Linked DNA regions of Callithrix jacchus. The protein of the gene in region 1 interacts with the protein of each later gene in a biochemical or structural test. Links are inferred from orthologs where the notes say so. Each region holds a gene or a part of one and is shown in the gene's direction. Other genes may lie near its edges. The genes, in order: NUP85 and NUP43.

Region 1 (9,901 bases):
TCCCCTGCTTGTGTATTTTAAATTATTTGAAATAAATTTTCAAAAGAGGACTTCCTGGTTCAAAGTACATAAATATGGCCCGGCACGGTGGCTCAAGCCTGTAATCCCAGCACTTTGGGAGGCCGAGGCGGGTGGATCACGAGGTGAAGAGATTGAGACCATCCTGGTCAACATGCTGAAACCCTGTCTCTACTAAAAATACAAAAAATTAGCTGGGCACGGTGGTGCGTGCCTGTAATCCCAGCTACTCAGGAGGCTGAGGCAGGAGAATTGCCTGAACCCAGGAGGTGGAGGTCGTGGTGAGCCGAGATCGCACCATCGCACTGCAGCCTGGGTAACAAAAGCGAAACTCCGTCTCAAAAAAAAAAAAAGTACATAAATATTTGTGTGGCTGCTGATAATAGATTTCTACCTTGTTTTCCAAAATAATTACGTCTCTTGAAATGATTGTGTATTTATTTCTTTAGCAGACTATGGAGCATTAGTTTTATTAGGATGCATTAAAATGTATATACTTAAGACTTTACCAGCCCAGATGCGGTGGCTCATACCTGTAATCCCAGCACTTTGGGAGGCTGAGGTGGGTGGATCACCTGAAGTCAGGAGTTCAAGTCCAGCTTGACCAATGTGGTGAAACCCTGTCTCTACTAAAAAATAAAAAAGTAGCCAGGCTTAGTGGTGTGTGCCTGTAGCCCCAGCTACTTGGGAGGCTGAGGCAGCAGAATCACTTGAACTCAGGAGGTAGAGGTTGCAGTGAGCCAACATCACTTCACTGTACTCCAGCCTGGGCAGCAGAGTGAGACTCTGTCTCAAGGTAAAAAAAAAAAAAAAAACAAAAGGCCTGGAACCATGGATCATGCCTGTAATCCCAGCACTTTGGGAGAGCGAGGTGTGTGGATCACAAGGTCAGGAGTTTAAGACCAGCCTGGCCAATATGGTGAAACCCCGGTCTCTACTAAAAATATAAAAATTAGCTGGATGCGGTGGCACATGCCACCAACCAGTACACATACCAACCAGTACTCAAGGGGCTGAGGCAGGAGAATCAGTTGAACCTGGGAAGCAGAGGTTGCAGTGAGCCATGATCATACCACTGCACTCCAGCCTGGGTGACAGAGCAAGACTATGTCTCATACACAAAAAAAACTTAGGCCACATCTTCAGCACATTGCCTCTGGCTTGATCTGAGATGGATTCTTCTTTCCTGAGACAGAGTTTCTAAAAAACAAAACAAAACAAACAAAAAAAAGAGACAGAGCTTCACTCTTGTCACCAAGGCTGGAGTGCTGTGGAGCAATCAGCCAACTGCACCCTTTGCCTCCAAGGTTAAAGCAATTCTTCTCCCTTAGCCTCCCAAATAGCTGGGATTACAGGCATGGGCCACCACATCTAGCTAATTTTGTATTTTTAGTACAGACAGAGTTTCACCATGTTGGTTAGGCTTGCTGGCCTCAATCTCCTCATCACTTTGAGTGATTCACTGGCCTCGGCCTTCCAAAATGCCAGGATTACTGGCATGAGCTGCTGTGCCCAGCCGATCTGAGATGGATTCTAAGCCTGACTTTGGAGTGACTTAAAAATGATTTCTGGTTTGATTCTTGTGCAACAGGTATGCTTTATTTTAGATGATTTTTAATTCTAGAAATACTTTGCTCTTTTTCTCTTAATAAGTTTCTATTATACCTCAAGTTGGAGTATCGCCTGCATAATTGAAGACTTTTCCAGAGTTAAATACAATTTGAGAGTTAACCACTCTAGAGAGAGGAGGAGGAAAAGAGAGGGCAAGGAGCCACTGATGGAAGAGTGAAAAGAGAAAAATAATTTGTAAACGAATTGTTTTTCCAATGGTATTCCATTAGGATTATCTGAAAAAGGATACATAAACGATTTCATCAAAACCTTATTCTTTGAAATCTATAGAGAGGTTGAGGAAGGAAAAGGTCCATATATAGTATATGTAGTCAAAATACAGAACAAGGATAGCTCTGTTAGCTGTAGTTTTCCTTTTTCACTATTCTATTAATAAGCCTATTTGAATGATTGGGTAAAATGACTGGTATATATCAGTCTTAGACCAAAGAATATTGCCAATACATTTTCCTCAATGTTACCTAGCTCTTGGTCAGACAATCTAAGTACTTTTGTTATCTTCAAATGTCATTTTGTCAGCCTTAAAAGAAAAATAATAAAGGAAGTATAGCACTAAGATTTGTTTTTTTTTTTTTTGAGACGGAGTTTTGCTCTTGTTACCCAGGCTGGAGTGCAGTGGCGGATCTCGGCTCATCGCAACCTCCGCCTCCTGGGTTCAGGCAATTCTCCTGCCTCAGCCTCCCGAGTAGCTGGGACTACAGGCGTGCACCACCATGCCCAGCTAATTTTTGTGTTTTTAGTAGAGACGGGGTTTCACCATGTTGACCAGGATGGTCTCGATCTCTTGACCTTGTGATCCACTCGTCTCGGCCTCACAAAGTGCTGGGATTATAGGCGTGAGCCACCGCGCCCAGCCAAGATTTGTTTTTTTTGAGATGGAGTCTCACTGTGTTGCCCAGGCTGGAGTGCAGTGTCGAGATCTTGGCTCACTGCAACCTCCACCTCCCGGGTTCAAGCGATTCTCCTGTTTCAGCCTCCCGAGGAGCTGGGATTACAGGCATGCGCCACCATGCCCGGCTAATTTGTATTTTTAGTAGAGACAGGGTTTCTTCATGTTGGTCAGGCTGGTCTCGAAGTCCCGGACCTCACGTAATCCGCCCGCCTAGCCCTCCCAAAGTGCTAGGAGTACAGGCGTGAGCCACTGCGCCCGGCCTGTATTCTAAGTAGAGACGAGGTTTCCTCATGTTGGCCAGGCTGGTCTCGAACCCCTGACCTCCAGTGATCCGCCCACCTAGGCCTGCCAAAGTGCGGAGATTAGAGGAGTGAGCCACCGCGCCCAGCCTTCAGTGGTGTCGATTTTGTCCGGGTGCTTCTTGTATGTGTTCTAGTGTGGGAGTGGCGGCGATTGCTTTCCAGCACAAATCCGTTTGACTGTCGGGGTTTGGACAAGCAGCTGCGACGACACTAAAGTGGAGACCAGGATGGGGCGAGGACTCCCAGCGTTGGTAGAGGTTGTACGCTCACTGGGGCCCTAGCGCTGCCCGAGTTCGCACCAGCGCCGCAAAGCTCACGCACGCGCAGTCGCACCGTCTCTGGCCCCAGGGTCCTCCCGCCCCTCCCGCCGTCTCCGGGGGCCTTTTCTCCGCCCGGCGCGGGGATGTCCGCGGTGCCGCCTGATCCTGTGAGCGCGGTACCGTGAATGCAGTCTGCCCTCGGCGCTCTTCTCCCTGACGTGCTGTCGAGGCCAGAAAGGAAGGACCCGCTCAGAGGACCGCAGACGGGTGGCTGAGAGGAGAGGCCCCCGCAGCATTGAGGGTTTGGGCTTGCAGGCGCTGCAGGAGGCGCCCAGCGGGGTCCTCTCTTAGCCAGCTCTGAGCTGGAGGCCTGAGCGGGAAGCATTGGCGGTGGGGCGACTTCCAGGAGGCTGGAGTGTAGCGCTATGGAGGAGCTTGATGGCGAGCCAACAGTCACTGTAAGGGCGCCCCGAAAAGGCTTGTTCGTCCTTGCGGCTCCAGAACTGCGTCTGCTTCGTTAGTTCAGGCTTGTCTGCTTCCCTCCTGGCCGCTAGGCGCTCGTCCCCTACCCTTGACTCAGTTGCCACTGTCCGAAGGTCGCAGTGTTAACGAAGTGCCCGCCCTCGAGTTGCAGTGGTTGCAGGGTTTCTGCCACCAGTCACAAGTCCTGGCCCCGAAGGTCCCACTCCATCCCTTTCCCTCCTTTGTCTTCCTGGCCTTTCTATTTCCCTCGCTTTTCCTCTTGGGCAGTAGAGTGGGTTCAGCCCGAGCAGAAGTATTGATGTTTTTCTTCTAGCTATGTTAAGCTTTGCAAGCGGTACATTGAGCTTCTGCCTGTGTGGTCTAAGGTTTATTGAACGTATTTATTCTCTGGGGAGACTGTTAAAACGTGCGCTTTGAATGAAGATACACCCAGACTTTGTGTGAGCAACATGGCTGTTTATTCACCTGGGTGTGGGCGGGCTGAATCCGAAAAGAGTCAGCGAAGGGCGGTGAGATAGGAGTTGGTTTTATAGGTTTGGGGTGGGCAGTGGAAAGTTAGAGTGACTTGTAGCCACGGATGGGGAGGCGGTGTCCCTCACCCTAGGGTTAAGGTAGGGGGACATAAGAGGAGCTATTCAGGAGGTATGGGTTCGGGGAGGAGGGCGCCAGTGAGGTGTGGCTATAGCCCAGGAATAGTTAAGGAGGCAGACAATTTTGCTAGGATATCTTGGCCTAACAGAGGAATTGGACAAGTGGGACTGATTAGGAAAGAATATGGAAAGTGGTGCTGGCCTAATTGACACCAGACTTGGGGAGTTTTGAGAGGCCTGGAGACCTTGCCGTCAATTCCCACAACAGTTATGGAGGCCAAGGAGACAGGTCCTTGAAAAGAAGGCAGTGTGGAGTGTGTGGCTCCGGGTTGATTAAGAAGGGGATGGACTTGACCTCCACCAGTTACTCGAAGCGCAGTGTTTGTGATGTTCCAGGGAGCCTCTGAGATGTTCAGGCAGCATCAGTCTTCAGCCACCAAGCCAAGGAGATCAGGGAAAGAGTCAGCCTGAGGGCTCCCGGGTTGGGCTCCTGGAGACTTAAAGACAGCAGTTTGAGTCTGGCAGTCCTACCTCCATTGGGGTCCCACACAGACAGGACATGGCTTAGGAAGAATCCCGGTTGGGAGGCTGAGGCGGGCGGATCACGAGGTCAAGAGATCCAGACCAGCCTAGCCAACATGTTGAAACTCCGTCTCTACTTAAATACAAAAATTAGCTGGGCATGGTGGCGCGCGCCTGTAGTCCCAGCTGCTTGGGTGGCTGAGGCAAGAGAATTGCTTGAACCCAGGAGGCGGAGGCTGCAGTGAGTCGAGATCCCGCCACTGCACTCCAGACTGGCGACAGAGTAAGACTCTGTCTCAAAAAAAAAAAAAAAAAAATCCGGGCTGCAGGCATTCCTTGGCTCAGTGGCCAGGTTCTCGGCATTTGAAGCAAGGCTTTGGGGAAGGAGGTCCTGAAGAGAAGTCTGGACGCTGTGGGTTTGGTGGTCTGAAACTTCTGTGAGCCGAAGAAGAAGTAGCTGTGGTCTATCTTACAGAGGAGGCAAGCATTTGTAATTCCGAAATACGCTGCCCCTGGGTAGCTTTTTCCCTATTATTTAACACCTTAAAGGTGAGGTCAATTAATTCCTGTTGTGGGGTTTGAGGGCCAGATTCTAATTTCTGTGGCTTTTTGTAATGTTAGGGACTCAATGGGTGATAAAATGCATATCAAGCATTCTTCAGGGGTGAGAGTAGAAGTAAGGATGACATTTAAGTCACTCCAGGCGAGATTACAGGCCTGGGTTAAGTATTGGAGGATCTGATGTAAAAGAGCCTAACCATTGGCTGATTTGGGAAAGGTCGGATAAAGAGAAAGGAACCTGCACCCTAACTATGCCTTTGGCTCCAGCCACCTCTCGAAGAGGGAATTGTCAGACAGGGGTGGAGGAGGTAGCCACAGGACTAAACTGCAAGCTGGGGCACTTATGAGGTGGCGAGGTGACAGGAGGGGCATAAGGAAATGGGTTGTGGGCAGAGGAAGAGGAGGAAAGCTCTAGGGGTTGGGCTTAGGTCCTGGATTAGGGCCTGGTTCCGACAGGCAGGGAGGAGAAAGGTCGGAAGGGTCGATGGACAAGGAGAATTCTAGGTTGCTGGCAGAGGCAGGAGGGGCAGATGGAAGGGAGAGAAGGAAAATTTGGGATGGGTTGCATTGAGAACAGAGATTAGGGAGAGATTGGTGTGTAAAAAAAAATGCCTGGACGTAGAGAATTTGCCCATTTTACTACGAAAGTTATCTAGATCCTGTAGGATAGAGAAATTGAAGGTACCATTTTCTAAATGGACAATGGACATTTAGAGCCATTGTCCAATTTATATCATGGTCAAGCAGTATTGCAGAAGAAAATAAGATGCTTAGGTTTTAGGTCAGGTGATAGCCGGAGAAGTTTGAGGTTTTTTAGAACGTAGGCTAAGGGAGAGGAGGGAGGAATGGAGGGTAGGAGTTTGCCCATAGTTTAAGAAGAGCGGGGCTCGGCGCGGTGGCTCATGCCTGTAATCCCAGCGCTTTGGGAGGCCGAGGCAGGTGGATCACGAGGTCAAGAGATTGAGACCATCCTGGTCAACATGCTGAAACCCCATCTCTACTAAAAACAAAAAATAAGCTGGGCATGGTGGTGCGTGCCTGTAATCCCAGCTACTCAGGAGGCTGAGGCAGGAGAATTGCCTCAGGAGGTGGAGGTTGTGGTGAGCCGAGATCGCACCATTGCACTCCAGCCTGGGTAACAAGAGCGAAACTCTGTCTAAAAAAGAAAAGAGCGGCGGAAAAAATAAAAAATTAAAAATTAAAAAAAAAAAACAACAAAAAAGACGAGCGGTGGAGACAAGGAAAGTGAATGCATGACCAAGCAGTTTAGCAGACATCCCAGACTAAATCTTGGTCTGAACCTGGGGTGAATCGGTCAAAGGGGGCGTCCCCCGTATTGATCTATCACCTGTGAGTGTGAGTGAGTGACCAGAGCAGATGTCTCCGCAATGATCAGTCACTGATGGAAGACTGTCTTCCCAGTTCCGTGACCTACGTAGGATTTTTTTCTGGTCATGAACCTCACAGAAAGTCCTGTCTTTCTTGTCTCTGATGAAAGGGAGAGAAAAATGAAACTGAGGGGAGACAAAGCTTGACAGGTAGCATGAAGGGCTAAAGAGAAAAGTTGAGGCAAACCACTTACCTGAGCTGAGAGGATGGTGAGTAGATCTGTGGGCTGGTCTGATGAATCTAGGTCATAGGTAGGTCTCTCCATGGAGGGAGCCCAAGGAGAACAGGACCGGGGTTTGGTCTCCTGTAGTAGTTCCCCCATCCCAGGTTTCTGGCACCAAATGTTAAAATGTGCACTCTGAATGAAGGGACCCCGCCCCCCAAAACAGCCTTAGTGTGTGAGCAGCATGGCTATTTATTCACCTGGGTGTGGGCAGGCTGAGTCCGAAAAGAGTCAGTTAAGGGCTGTGGGAGAGGAGTTGGTTTTATAGGTTTGGGGTCAGCAGTGGAAAGTTACAGAAGTTACAGTTTAGGGCGGGGTTTTTGCAAGCTGAGATGGGGGTCTTAAGTTTGCAAGCTGCGAGGAGGTTGTAGAGTGCGGAGTCCAGGTTGACCTAGACCAGGCTGACCAAGGTTGGTTACAAAATCCAATGGCCTTATCAGTTGGGGCAGGAATAAGGAACAATACAGAATGTCTCAAAGGGGTTGATCATTTCTTCTTCTTTTCATGGTTTTCCAGTTATTTCAGATTTTCCAGGAACTCATCTGGAGTCACAGAGGTTAACATGGCATCCATGGCGCTGTCAGTCAGCCTAAAAGACCTTACAGACTATTCCCGTTTTATCGCTGTGCATTCAATTCCATTTGAACTTTGAAGAGAGCATGTCAAATATGGATAATCTGTGATGTGTATACAGAAATTCATGGGCTTTATGTAGGAGATACCTACTGTTTTCGCTACTTGGAATGCTCTTCTCTTCCCTCTTTTTTTTGTTAACTGAAAAGTGACTGAGGCAAGCCTCAATCAGTAAAGGTTTATTTAGCTAAGGTTGAGAATCCAACCAGGAAAAAACACAGGTCACAGGAGAATGTGTGACTTGTGCTTTTGCCAAAGATAGGTTTGGGAACATCATTCCTTAAAGAGGAAGGAGCAGCTGGGCGCGATGACTCATGCCTGTAATCCCAGCACTTTGGGAGGCCGAGATGGGTGGATCATGAGGTCAGGAGTTCAAGACCAGCCTGGCTAACATGGTGAAACCCCATCTCTTAAAAAAAAAAAAAAAAAAAAAAAAAAAGAGGAAGGAGCTAGCAGGAGGGGGAAAATATGGGAGGCTAGGCAATGAGGAGGCAAATGGTTACATTCTTGTGAGTCTCTGATTAGCCTCAGTAAATTTGCATTTTACCTGTGAAAAGAGGGAGTAGACAAAACATTTATGCATTCATCTTAGGTAGGTAGAGGGATGATTTCTTATCTTTTCTTTTTTTATTGGGACAGTCTTGCTCTCTTGCCTAGGCTGGAGTGCATTGGTGCGATCTCAGCTCTCTGCCACCTCTGCTGTTCAAGCAATTCTGCCTCAGCCTCCTGAGTAGCTGGGATTACAGGTGTGTGGCACCATGCCCAGCTAATTTTTTTTTTTTTTTTTTTTTTTTTTTTTAGTTGAGACAGGGTTTCACCATGTTGACCAGGCTGGTCTTTAACTCCTGACTTTGTGATCTGCCTATCTCAGCCTCCCAAAGTGCTGGGATTACAGGTGTGAGCCACCGCATCTGGTTGATTTCTGGTCTTGTACTTGTGAAGATAAGCTGGTAGCTGACGTTGTCAGGGTGAGAATCAACAGCCCTCATTTTTAGGACTAGTTTATAGGAGGAGGTTTCTCCTGAAAAATGTTAAGGCTCACAAGGAATTTCCTTGTGAGCAATTTCTTAGGGAGGCTATCTGGGGAGATACGTGGCCTTATAAAGTGGGAAACTGGCTTGTGGATGAAGCTGTGACATAGGGTTTGAAATAATAGCCCTCTAGGAACAAAAGGAAGGCAATATTGTGTGATACAATTCCCTAGCTTAACTTTCCCTTTAGCATAGTAAGTTTGGGATCTCCAAATGCTGTTTTTTTCTTCACAGTCTCCTGGTCATTGTACAAATGCAAGTTCTAGCAAGCTCTTTTCTCAGGAAAGCCTTTCCTGACCTTTCTAACTAGGTGAGATATCTAGCCATTATAGGCTTTCAAAATTCTCTCTCTTAGTTCTTGGTAACCTCTAGGTCCCAGTAAAGTGTAAGTTACCCGACCTTGAGTTTTTGCTTTTTAGAAAGTTGAGATGCCTAAAGTTTCAGTTAGAGCCATCAGATTGTAAAGCAGTCGATGACAAAACCAAAAGTTGGAAATAGGGGTCATTTCAAAGCTAACTAGACAAAATGAGACATGGGGTCTTAAGTTGCAGTTAATGTAGGTTTGTTACTCTTTATGTAGCTTACATCTGTAGAGTGTTTAAATATATTAAAACTATATATTAAAAAATGCATTGGTGCCGATCTCGGCTCACTGCAGCCTCTGCCTCCCAGGTCTGAATGATTTTCCTGCCTCAGCCCCAGGAGTAGCTGGGACTACAGGTGTGTGCTACCACACCCAGCTAATTTTGTATTTTTAGTAGAGACAGGGTTTCACCGTGTTGGCCAGGCTGGCCTCGAACTGTTAACCTCAGGTGATCCACCCACCTCTGCCTCCCAAAGTGCTGGGATTACAGGCATGAACCACTGCGCCCAGCCTTTTGATTCATTTTAAATTAATTTTTGTGTGTGATGTGAAGTTCATTTTTTGCATGTGGATACTCAGTTGTTCCAGTGCCATTGTGGGCAATGCTTTTCCCTTGCCTGGCTTATCATCTATTAAGAGTTGGCTGGGTACAGTGGCTCACGCTTGTAATCCCAGCACTTTGAGAGGCTGAGGCGGGCAGATCGCTTGACCCCAGGAGTTTGAGACAAGCCTAGCCAACATGACAAAAACCCCATCTCTACTAAAAATGCCAAAAATTAGCTGGGTGTTGTGGCACATGCCTGTAGTCCCAGCTACTTGGGAGTCTGTGGTAGGAGAATGTCTTGACCCCTGGAGGTGCAGGTTGCAGTGAGCTGAGATCAGCCACTGCATTCCAGCCTGGGTGACAGAGTAAGACCCTGTCTTTTTAAACATTTTTATTTATATATCTATATATATACACACATACATACTTATACACACGCATTTTTTTTTTTTTTTTG
Region 2 (9,801 bases), on another chromosome or scaffold:
AAGGCCAAAGCGCTCTTGCCTTTGTTCAGAGCCGCTTTGTGAGATGGGCCTCTCTGGCTAAGTTCTCCCAGTATGCAGTACTGACTAGTCCCACACTGGCCACCGACAAGAATTGACTCTCTGCAGCCACCGTCTCGTTCCTATAGTCCCATCCAATCAGAGCTCCGCGGGAAGAGGCGGGGCTGAGAGGCGCGCATTGTGCTTGCTTCTTGCAGTAGTTGCTGCGATTGCTTTCCGCATGGAGGAAATTTATGCGAAGTTTGTGTCTCAGAAAATCAGCAAAACCCGCTGGCGACCGCTGCCTCCGGGAAGTTTGCAGACCGCGGAAACGTTCGCTACGGGATCTTGGGACAATGAGGTATCCCTGCTAAGGAACCCCTACCACCTCCTCCCTTTCTCTGGTTGAGCTGCACCCCTGTCCGCCCGCGCGCCAACTCCCACCTTCCGGTTCTTCTCCCACTTCTAGGTCCCCGGAACCCCTGTCTCAGACGCGGTTACCCCATAGTTCAGAGCCGGTGCCAGTGTGCCTGAGCCTCGTATCTCGTTGCGTTTTAAACTCACCATACCATGTTTCTGAAATGTTTTCGAGCAGGGTTTCCTGACGGCAGGACAAGTTTTATTTTCAGAGTTGACGTTTATGTCATCTCAAGACAAAACTTTTTGTTTTACAGGAAAATTATGTTTCACTGTGGTCTATTGGAGATTTTGAAAACTTGGACTCTGATGGAGGGTTTGAAGGAGACCATCAGTTATTGTGTGATATCAGACACCATGGTGATATAATGGATTTACAGGTAAATCTTTGTAGTATGCAAAAACTAAATTTGAAAATACTGAGTAATATATTTAAACAAGCAGAAGATCGTCTGGTTTACAGAAAACTGAGTGCCCTATAAGTTAAAATTTGCCCCACATCATTTAGCCATTTAGTGGCAGAAAAAGGACTGGGAAAGGGGATACAGATTTAATCATACTTTTTATTAATTGACCATCGGCTATGTGCTAAGTACCGTTTTGGGAGCTTTACAAAAGTTAATTTATTGTTGCATGCCAGTGAATCAAGTATCGTTATCTTTGTTTTACTAATGAGAAAATTGAGACTAGTATATCTTGAGCATGTTCTATGTGACAGATACTGTACAGGGGGTTTTACATCATTTTGTTTTTTGAATTCTCATAACAACTCCCTAAGTAGAGATTAGTACTCCCGTTTTAAAGATTTACCACGATTTAGAGAACTTAACTTGGCCAACGTCTCAAAACCAGTAGTGAGTGGTGGGGATGAAATTAAGTTTTCAAATCCTGATGTGGAGAGTCCCTGCATTTTATTCTCTAGAAAGCTACCTAGCCCTAGGAAAGATATTTTCTTTTTTAAAATTTTTATTCTTTTTTTGAAACTGAGTCTCACCTGTCAACCAGGCTGGAATGCAGTGGCTTGATCTTGGCTCACTGCAACCTCTGCTTTCCCACAAGCCCAACTCATTTTTGTATTATTGTAGAGACGGGGTCTCACCATGTTGCCCAAGCTGGTCTTGAACTCCTGAGCTCAAGCAAGCCGTCCGCCTAGGCCTCCCAAAATGTTGGGATTACAGGTGTGAGCCCAAATCAAATCAATTGTAAGTGAATGTGTTTAGGAAAAAAATATTGTTTATCCATGAAAATACTCTTATTTTTGATCACTACTAAAAAATAAAAATAAAAAAATACTCTTATTTGTATGGCAGTTTGGACTTTCAGCTCCATTAACACATTTTATTTATTTGCTTAGCACTCATAGACTTCACTTTTCAAAATTGTTAGAAGTTACTACTAATCAAGTTAAATAAAGAAATGGACTTCCTCCCTACTAATATTTCTGAATCTTCAACAAGCAGAAATTTTCTCTTTAGTTTTTTGACCAGGAAAGAATTGTCACTGCTTCATCAACGGGATGTGTAACAGTTTTCCTTCACCATCCAAATAACCAGGTAAAGAACTTTAGTTCGAAAAGTGAATTTTTTATGATAGAATATTGTTTTCTAGGGAAAGAAAAAGAAAAAAATAATAATAACAAAATAGAAAAGTGAATTTTTTTTTGAGACAGAGTTTTGCTCTTGTTGCCCAGACTGGAGTGCAATGGCATGATCTCGGCTTACCGCAATCTCCACCTCCTGGGTTCAAGCAATTTTCCTGCTTCAGCCTCCCCAGTAGCTGGGATTACAAGGATGCGCCACCGTGCCCAGCTAATTTTGTATTTTTAGTAGAGATGGGGTTTCTCCATGTTGGTTAGGCTGGTCTTGAACTCCCTACCTCAGGTGATCCACCTGTCCTGGGCTCCCAAGGTACTGGGACTACAGATGTGAGCCACCATGCCCAACCAAAGGTAGCCTTTCTAATAGACATGCCTAGTAAATATCAAGACCCAGTTCATGTTAAGTGTTTTTTTGAGTCATTTACAAAAACCGATAAGAGCCTTATGTTTTATTTTATTTATTTATTTATTTTTGAGACAGAGTCTCTCTCTGTCACCTAGGCTAGAGTGCAGTCGCGTGATGTCTGCTCACTGCAACCTGCGCCTCCTGGTTCAAGTTATTCTCCCACCTTAGCCTCCCAAGTACCTGGGATTACAGCCAGGTGCTACCACACCTGGCTAATTTTTGTATTTTTAGTAGAGATGGGATTTTGCCACATTAGCCAGGCTGTTCTCAAAGTCCTGACCTCAGGTGATCCACCTGCCTCCCAAAGTGGTGGGATTATAGACATAAGCCACAGTGGTGGGCCAGAGAATTATATTTTAGATATAGTTTCATTCCTTGGCCTCCCAAAGTGCTGGGTTTACAGGCATGAGCCACTGTGCCCACCCTCAGTATACAGAACTTTGATAGAAGTAGTTTTTAGATTTCATTACTCTAAAGGAAAAAAGAGAGATTTATTCTTCTAGAAGGGTGTGAATCAGAATTTAAAGATAGTCTTGTTGGCAAAAAGTGCTAGTTCCTTAAACTTTCTTTAATAGTATCCTCATTTCTGATGCCTAGACTCTGTCAGTCAACCAGCAATGGACTACAGCTCACTACCACACAGGCCCCAGCAGTCCTTCCTATAGCAGTGCACCATGTACAGGTATTGTGTGTAACAACCCAGAAATTGTTACAGTTGGAGAGGATGGTCGAATAAATCTCTTCAGAGCTGATCACAAGGAAGCTGTAAGAACCATAGGTAAGAAAAATCCCAGCCTGGCCAACATGGTGAAACCATCTCTACTAAAAATATGAAAGTTAGCTGGGTGTGGTAGTATGTACATGCCTGTAATCCCAGGTACTCAGAAGGCCAAGGCAGGAGAATTGTTTGAACCCGAGAGGCTGAGGTTGCAGTGAGCTGAGATGGCACTGCCATATTCCTACCTGGGCAACAGAAGGAGACTCCATCTCAAAAAAAGAAAAATCATTTTATTTCTTTCATCTCTCACAGAGTAATTGAGTACTTACGATATACTAAGTAAACACAGCCAGGTAGGGGTGGATCACGAGGTCAAGAGATCCAGACCATCCTGGCCACATGGTGAAAGCCTGTCTCTACCAACAATACAAACTTAGCTGGGCATGGTGGTGCGCACCTGTAGTCTCAGCTACTGGGGAGGCTGAGGCAGGAGAATTGCTTGAACCCAGGAGGCGGAGGTTGCAGTGGACTGAGATCACACCACTGCACTCCAGTCTGGCAACAGAGCAAGACTCTGTTTCAGAAGTAAACACAATGTTAAATGGTTGAGGGATATAAAAATACATGGACAGGCACAGTGGCTCATGCCTATAATCCCAGCACTTCAGGAGGTCAAGGCAAGCAGATCATTTGAGGCCACGAGTTTGAGACTAGCCTGGCCAACATGGCGAAATCCTGTCTACTAAAAATATAAAAATTAACTGGCAATGGTGGCACACGCGTATAGTCCCAACTGCTTGGAAGGCTGAGGCATGAGAATTGCTTGAACCTAGGAGGCTGAGGCTTTAGTGAGCCAGTATCATACTATTGCACTCCTGCCTGCCTGGGTGACAGCAAGACTCTGTCTCAAAAATATATATATAAATGTGTGCGCGCGCGCGCACACACACACACACACACACACACACACACACACGACAGGATGCTTTTGTCAAGACAGTATATTGATGAGGCCAGTACAAATGACTGACTAGAGAAGACAGAAACCTTTTTTTTCCTTTGGCCAGAGGGGATTATCAGATAAAGCATCTGGGAGTAGGTAGTAATAGTTTTTTCTAGGTTCTAGACCATAAGTAATACTAAAAGATGGCATGCTAGACAAAGGGAATAGGCCAGAGACAGGATAAAGACCTTCAGAGAATGACAAAAAGTATAGTTTGACCCAACTTTAGATATTTATGCAGGAGAGATGAAAGATGAAGCAAGAGAAGGGTAAACAGGCCAGATTGCAAGGAGTCTATAATGCAAAATCACAGAGATTACATCTTGTAGGTGGAAAACTCAGTGTATTGGTTCTCAACTATGCTTCAATAAGACTTGCCTGAGGAAGTTTTTTTGAACTGTCCACCACTCTAGACCTCTTGAATCAGAATCGCTAGGAATTGAGCCCATACGTCCATCTTTTTGTTTTGTTTTATTTATTTATTTACTTTTTAGATGGAGTCTCACTCTGTCATCAGGCTGGAGTGCAGTGGCATGATGGCTCACTGCCACCTCCGTCTCACAGGTTCAAGCAGTTCTCCTGCCTGAGCCTCCTGAGTAGCTGGGATTACAGTCACCCACCATCACTCCCAGCTAATTTTTGTATTTTTGGTAGAGATGGTCTTTCACCATGTTGGCCAGGATGGTTTCGATCTCTTGACCATGTAATCTGCCCACTGTGGCCTCCCAAAGTGCTGGGATTACAGGTGTGAGCCACCGTGCTCGGCTTTCTGTGTTGTTTATTATGGTTTTCAGTTCTGAGTTAAGTTGCATTGCTTTTTTTTTTTTTTTTTTTTTGTGACAGGGTCTTGCTTTGTCACCCAGGCTGGAGTGCAGTGGCATGATCCAAGCTCACTGCAATTTCTGCCTCCCAGGTTCAAGCAATCCTTCTGCCTCAGCCTCCCAAGGATCTGGGACCACAGATGCATACCACCATGCCTGGCTAATTTTTGTAGAAATGAGGTTTTACCATGCTGTCCAGGCTGGTCTCCAACTCCTGGGTTCAAGTGAATTGCCCGCCTCGGCCTCCCAAAATGTTAGGATTACAGGTGTGAGCCACTGCACTGGGCAACATCACTTATTTGTTAATTAATGACCGTTGTCTGGTGGCAGTGTAGAGGAGTGGCACAAACTAAAGTCTATAAAGTATATGTTAAATTATGAGGCATAAGTTCTAAACACCAGGAAATCAACAGAAGGACCATTATAACAATCAGGAATGACTTCATAGAGAGGGCGAGAGTTGATGAGGATGAAAATAAGTAGATTTGGGATGAGTCTGCAGAATAATACAAGATTGGCATGAGCTCTGTAGAAAGCACAGGGGTTTGGCCCAATAGAAGGGAAGTTCTAGATCAGGAACTAGTGGGAAATAAGATTGGGTTTAGGGGAGCTTGAACAACTCTCTCAGAAATGCAGGGTAACAATCTTTTTCTTTTTCTTTGAGACGAAGTTTCGCTCTTGTTACCCCAGGCTGGAGTGCAATGGCGCGATCTCGGCTCATCGCAACCTCTGCCTCCTAGGTTCAGGCAATTCTTTCTCAGCCTCCTGAGTAGCTGGGATTATAGGCACGTGCCACCATGCCCAGCTAATTTTTTTTGTATTTTTAGTACAGACAGGGTTTCACCATGTTGACCAGGATGATCTCGATCTCTTGACCCCGTGATCCACCCGCCTTGGCCTCCCAAAGTGCTGGGAACAATCTTAAGAGTTAAAAAAGAATGTATGAAAACTCAGCCTTCCATTTCTAACACAGTTCAAGGCTGGGCCCAGTGCCTCACACCTGTAAATCCAGCACTTCGGGAGACCGAGGTGGGTGGATCACCTGAGCTTAGGAGTTCGAGACCAGCCTGGCCAATGTGGTGAAACCCTGTCTCTACTAAAAATACAAAAATTAGCCGGGCGTTGTGGTGTGTGCCTGTAATCCCAGCTACTAGGGAAGCTGAGGCAAGCAAATCACTTGAACCTGGGAGATAGAGGTTGCAGTGAGCCGAGACCATACCAGTGCCCTCTAGCCTGGGTGACATGGCAATATCCATCTTAAAAAAAATAAAAAGAAAAAGAAAACAGTTCAGATGTCCTGTAATATTTTTCCATCCAAAGAGAATTCATTTAAACATGTACATTACTGTGTACTTTTCTATAGAAATTTAAATTATTAGTTACTGGAAATTGTATTTGTAATATAGCAATCCATGAAAGGAGTGTGATTTAAGATTTTCTTGGAAAAAAGGAACTCATTAACACATATTACCATTTTTAAAAATTTTTAGACAATGCAGATAGTAGTACACTCCATGCTGTAACCTTTCTTCGAACTCCTGAGATTCTTACTGTGAATTCAATTGGACAGTTGAAAATATGGGATTTCAGACAACAAGGAAATGAGCCTTCTCAGATATTGTCACTGTAAGTATTGATTTGTAATTTCAGTAATGTAATCCAAAATTAATGTGTTTGGTTGTTTATAGCAATTATCTTTAAGCTATGTTAATTACATTTTAAGAGGGTGATCCCTGATTAAATTTGGTAGAGAAAGCATAACTTGAATAACTTGATGGGGTTGACACTACTTTCATTTAGCAATTATTTGTTATAGTGATTCAGAACCTTTACTCTTTGAAGTTTGTATTATTTCGTGGAGAACTTATTTCTGCTCTTTCAATGATTATTTAATGGATAAAATATATTCCAGATATAATGATTAGGGGAAAAATATAATTCCAGATATTTTTTATGAGCAGAAATCCCCCCTTTTAGGTATACAACCTTTTCTCATACGAAAATAGAATGTGTCACACTGAAAAAATAGTTATAAAAACTAAGCATTTAATAAGATGATAAATAGGCTGGGTGCAGTGGCTCACGCCTATAATCCCAGCACTTTGGGAGGCCGAGGCGGGTGGATCACGAGGTCAAGAGATCGAGACCATCCTGGTCAACAAGGTGAAACCCCATCTCTACTAAAAATACAAAAATTAGCTGGGCATGGTGGTGCGCACCTGTAGTCCCAGCTACTCGGGAGGCTGAGGCAGGAGAATTGCTTGAACCCAGAAGGCGGAGGTTGCGGTGAGCCAAGATCGTGCCATTGCACTCCAGTCTGGGTAACCACAGCGAAACTCCATATAAAAAAAAAAAATAAGATGATAAATAATATTTAGTACAGTTGATGTATGATTTTTTAAGAAATCTAAGAAGTGGAAATATGATTTATACATCTTATCATCAGATTATCCTTCATTCTGTGTCTCCATATTGAAGTGAGAATGAATAATTGTGGCCTTGAATTATTTCAAAATTGTACTATTTGGAAATATATCTAATTTAGTTCATTTTTTGGCATCATTAAGATTTAGCCAGGCCCGGCATGGTGGTTCACACCTGTAATCCCAGCACTTTTTGAGGCCAAGGCCGGCGGATCACTTGAGGTCAGGAGTTCGAGACCAGCCTGGCCAACATGGTAAAACCCCGTCTCTTCTAAAAATACAAAAATTAGCCAGGCATGGTGGCATGTGCCTGTAATCTCACCTACTTGGGAGGCTGAGGCAGGAGAATCACTTGAACCAGGGAGGCAGAGTTTGCAGTGAGCCAAGATCGAACTATTGCACTCCAGCCTGGGCAAAAAGAATGAAACTCTGTCTCAAATTTTAAAAAAAGATTCAACCAGTAGCTCCAGCCACTAAGTTGTTGTTTAGTTACCATATGAAACATGTTTCTTGGCTGAGCATGGTGACTCACGCCTGTAATCCCAACACTTTGGGAGGATCACCTGCAGTGAGAAGTTTGAGATCAGCTGGGGCAACATAGCAAGACCCTCGTCTCTACAAAAACCCACCATGCCTGGCTAGTTTTTATATTTTTAGTAGAGATAGGGTTTCGCCATGTTGGCCAGATTGGTTTTGAACTCCTGACCTCAAGTGATCCACCTGCCTTGGCCTCAAAAAGTGCTGGGATTTCAGGCATGAGCCACTAAACCTACCTGGTCAAGACCCTTTCTCTTAAAAAAGAAAAATCCAGGCTGGGCACAGTGTCCATGTTGGTCATCCCAGCACTTTGGGAGGCCAAGGTGGCTAGGTTGCTTGAGGCTGGGAGTTCAAGATCAACCTGGGCAACATGGAGAAACCCCATCTCTGCAAAACTACAAAAAGTTAATCAGGCGTGATGGTGCACACATGTAATCCCAGCTACTCAGGAGGAGGCCGACGTGGGAGGATCACCTGAGCCCAGGGAGTTTGATCCTGCAATGAGCCACGATCACAGTGCCTCAATCCAGCTTGGGTAGCAGAGTGAGACCCTGTCTCGAAAATGACAACAACAACAAAAAAAACCATGTTTCTTGTGTTACACAAAGATAAATTATACTTTATCTGATTTTGATGTCAATGTTATCTCCCACAAAAGAACTGGTGACCGAGTGCCACTCCACTGCGTTGATAGACATCCCAACCAACAGCATGTTGTAGCTACTGGTGGCCAAGATGGAATGTTGAGTATTTGGGATGTTAGACAAGGTACTATGCCTGTATCTCTGCTGAAGGCTCATGAAGCTGAAAGTAAGTATTGTGGAGATACAGAAAGTTTTTATTGGGTGAGTTATATGACATATAATAAGCACCTTTTCATAATGACACACGTGGATCATTTTACATGATAGCTTTTAATTTAAATAATTATCTAATCTCTTTTTACTTGACATTTAAGTTGTTTAACATGTTTCTTTTTTTTTTTGAGACAGAGTTTCACTCTTGTCCATGCTGGAGTGTAATGGCACCATCTCTGCTCACCACAGCCTCAGCTTCCCAGGTTCAAGCAGTTCTCCTGCCTCAGCCTCCCCAAGTAGGTGGGATTTCAGGCATGTGCCATCATACCCGGCTAATTTTGAATTTTTAATAGAGATGGGTTTTCTCCATATTGGTCAGGCTGGTCTCAAACCCCTGACCTCAGATGATCTGCTCGCCTCAACCTCCCAAAGTGCTGGGATTACAGGCATTAGCCATGTGCCTGGCTTTTTTTTTTTTTTTTTAAGGGACGGTCTGAATCTGTTGCCCAGGCTGGAGTGCAGTAGTGCAGTCACTGCTCACTACACCCTTGACCTACAGGGCTCAGGTGATCCCCCCATATCAGCCTCCCAAGTAGATAGGACTATAGGTATGTGCCACCATGCCTAACTGATTTTTTTTGTTGTTTTTTTGTGGATATGGGGTTTTGCTTTATTGCCCAGTCTGGTTTCAAACAAATGATCCTCAGGAAGTGCTGAGATTACAGGTGTAAGCTATGAGCCACTAAACCAGCCACAGGCTTCAGTCTTATATCCAAAACTGTACTGAGAATCCTTAGATATTTATGTACCCTTGTTTTTTGGAAGACAGGGTCTCCCTTTGTCACCCAGGCCGGAGTATAGTAGTGGTGTGATCATAGCTCATTGCAGCCTTAAACTCCTTGACTTATACGATCCTTCCAATGTACTAGGACTACAGGTATGAGCCATTATGCCCAGCCTTATGTACTTCTTGTCTTTTTTTTTGAGACAGAGTCTTGGTCTGTCACACAGGCTAGAGTGCAGTGGTGCAATCTCAGCTCACTGCAACCTCCACCTCCTGGTTCAAGCAATTCTCCTGTCTCAGC

The links.
Region 2: the proteins of NUP85 (region 1) and NUP43 form a complex in vitro, tested with the Homo sapiens proteins (2 studies listed by BioGRID). The link is inferred for Callithrix jacchus from reciprocal best matches to the Homo sapiens genes NUP85 and NUP43.

What each region holds. Positions count from the first base shown.
Region 1 is NC_133506.1:131,119,900-131,129,800, forward strand, and holds the start of NUP85 (nuclear pore complex protein Nup85), read left to right. Parts: upstream 1-3,453; 5' UTR 3,454-3,529; coding exon 3,530-3,562; intron 3,563-9,901. UniProt on the Homo sapiens protein: Essential component of the nuclear pore complex (NPC) that seems to be required for NPC assembly and maintenance. As part of the NPC Nup107-160 subcomplex plays a role in RNA export and in tethering NUP96/Nup98 and NUP153 to the nucleus.
Region 2 is NC_133505.1:156,517,612-156,527,412, reverse strand, and holds the start of NUP43 (nucleoporin Nup43), read left to right. Parts: upstream 1-178; 5' UTR 179-238; coding exon 239-358; intron 359-671; coding exon 672-794; intron 795-1,889; coding exon 1,890-1,967; intron 1,968-3,014; coding exon 3,015-3,195; intron 3,196-6,449; coding exon 6,450-6,585; intron 6,586-8,577; coding exon 8,578-8,729; intron 8,730-8,907; coding exon 8,908-9,012; intron 9,013-9,801. UniProt on the Homo sapiens protein: Component of the Nup107-160 subcomplex of the nuclear pore complex (NPC). The Nup107-160 subcomplex is required for the assembly of a functional NPC.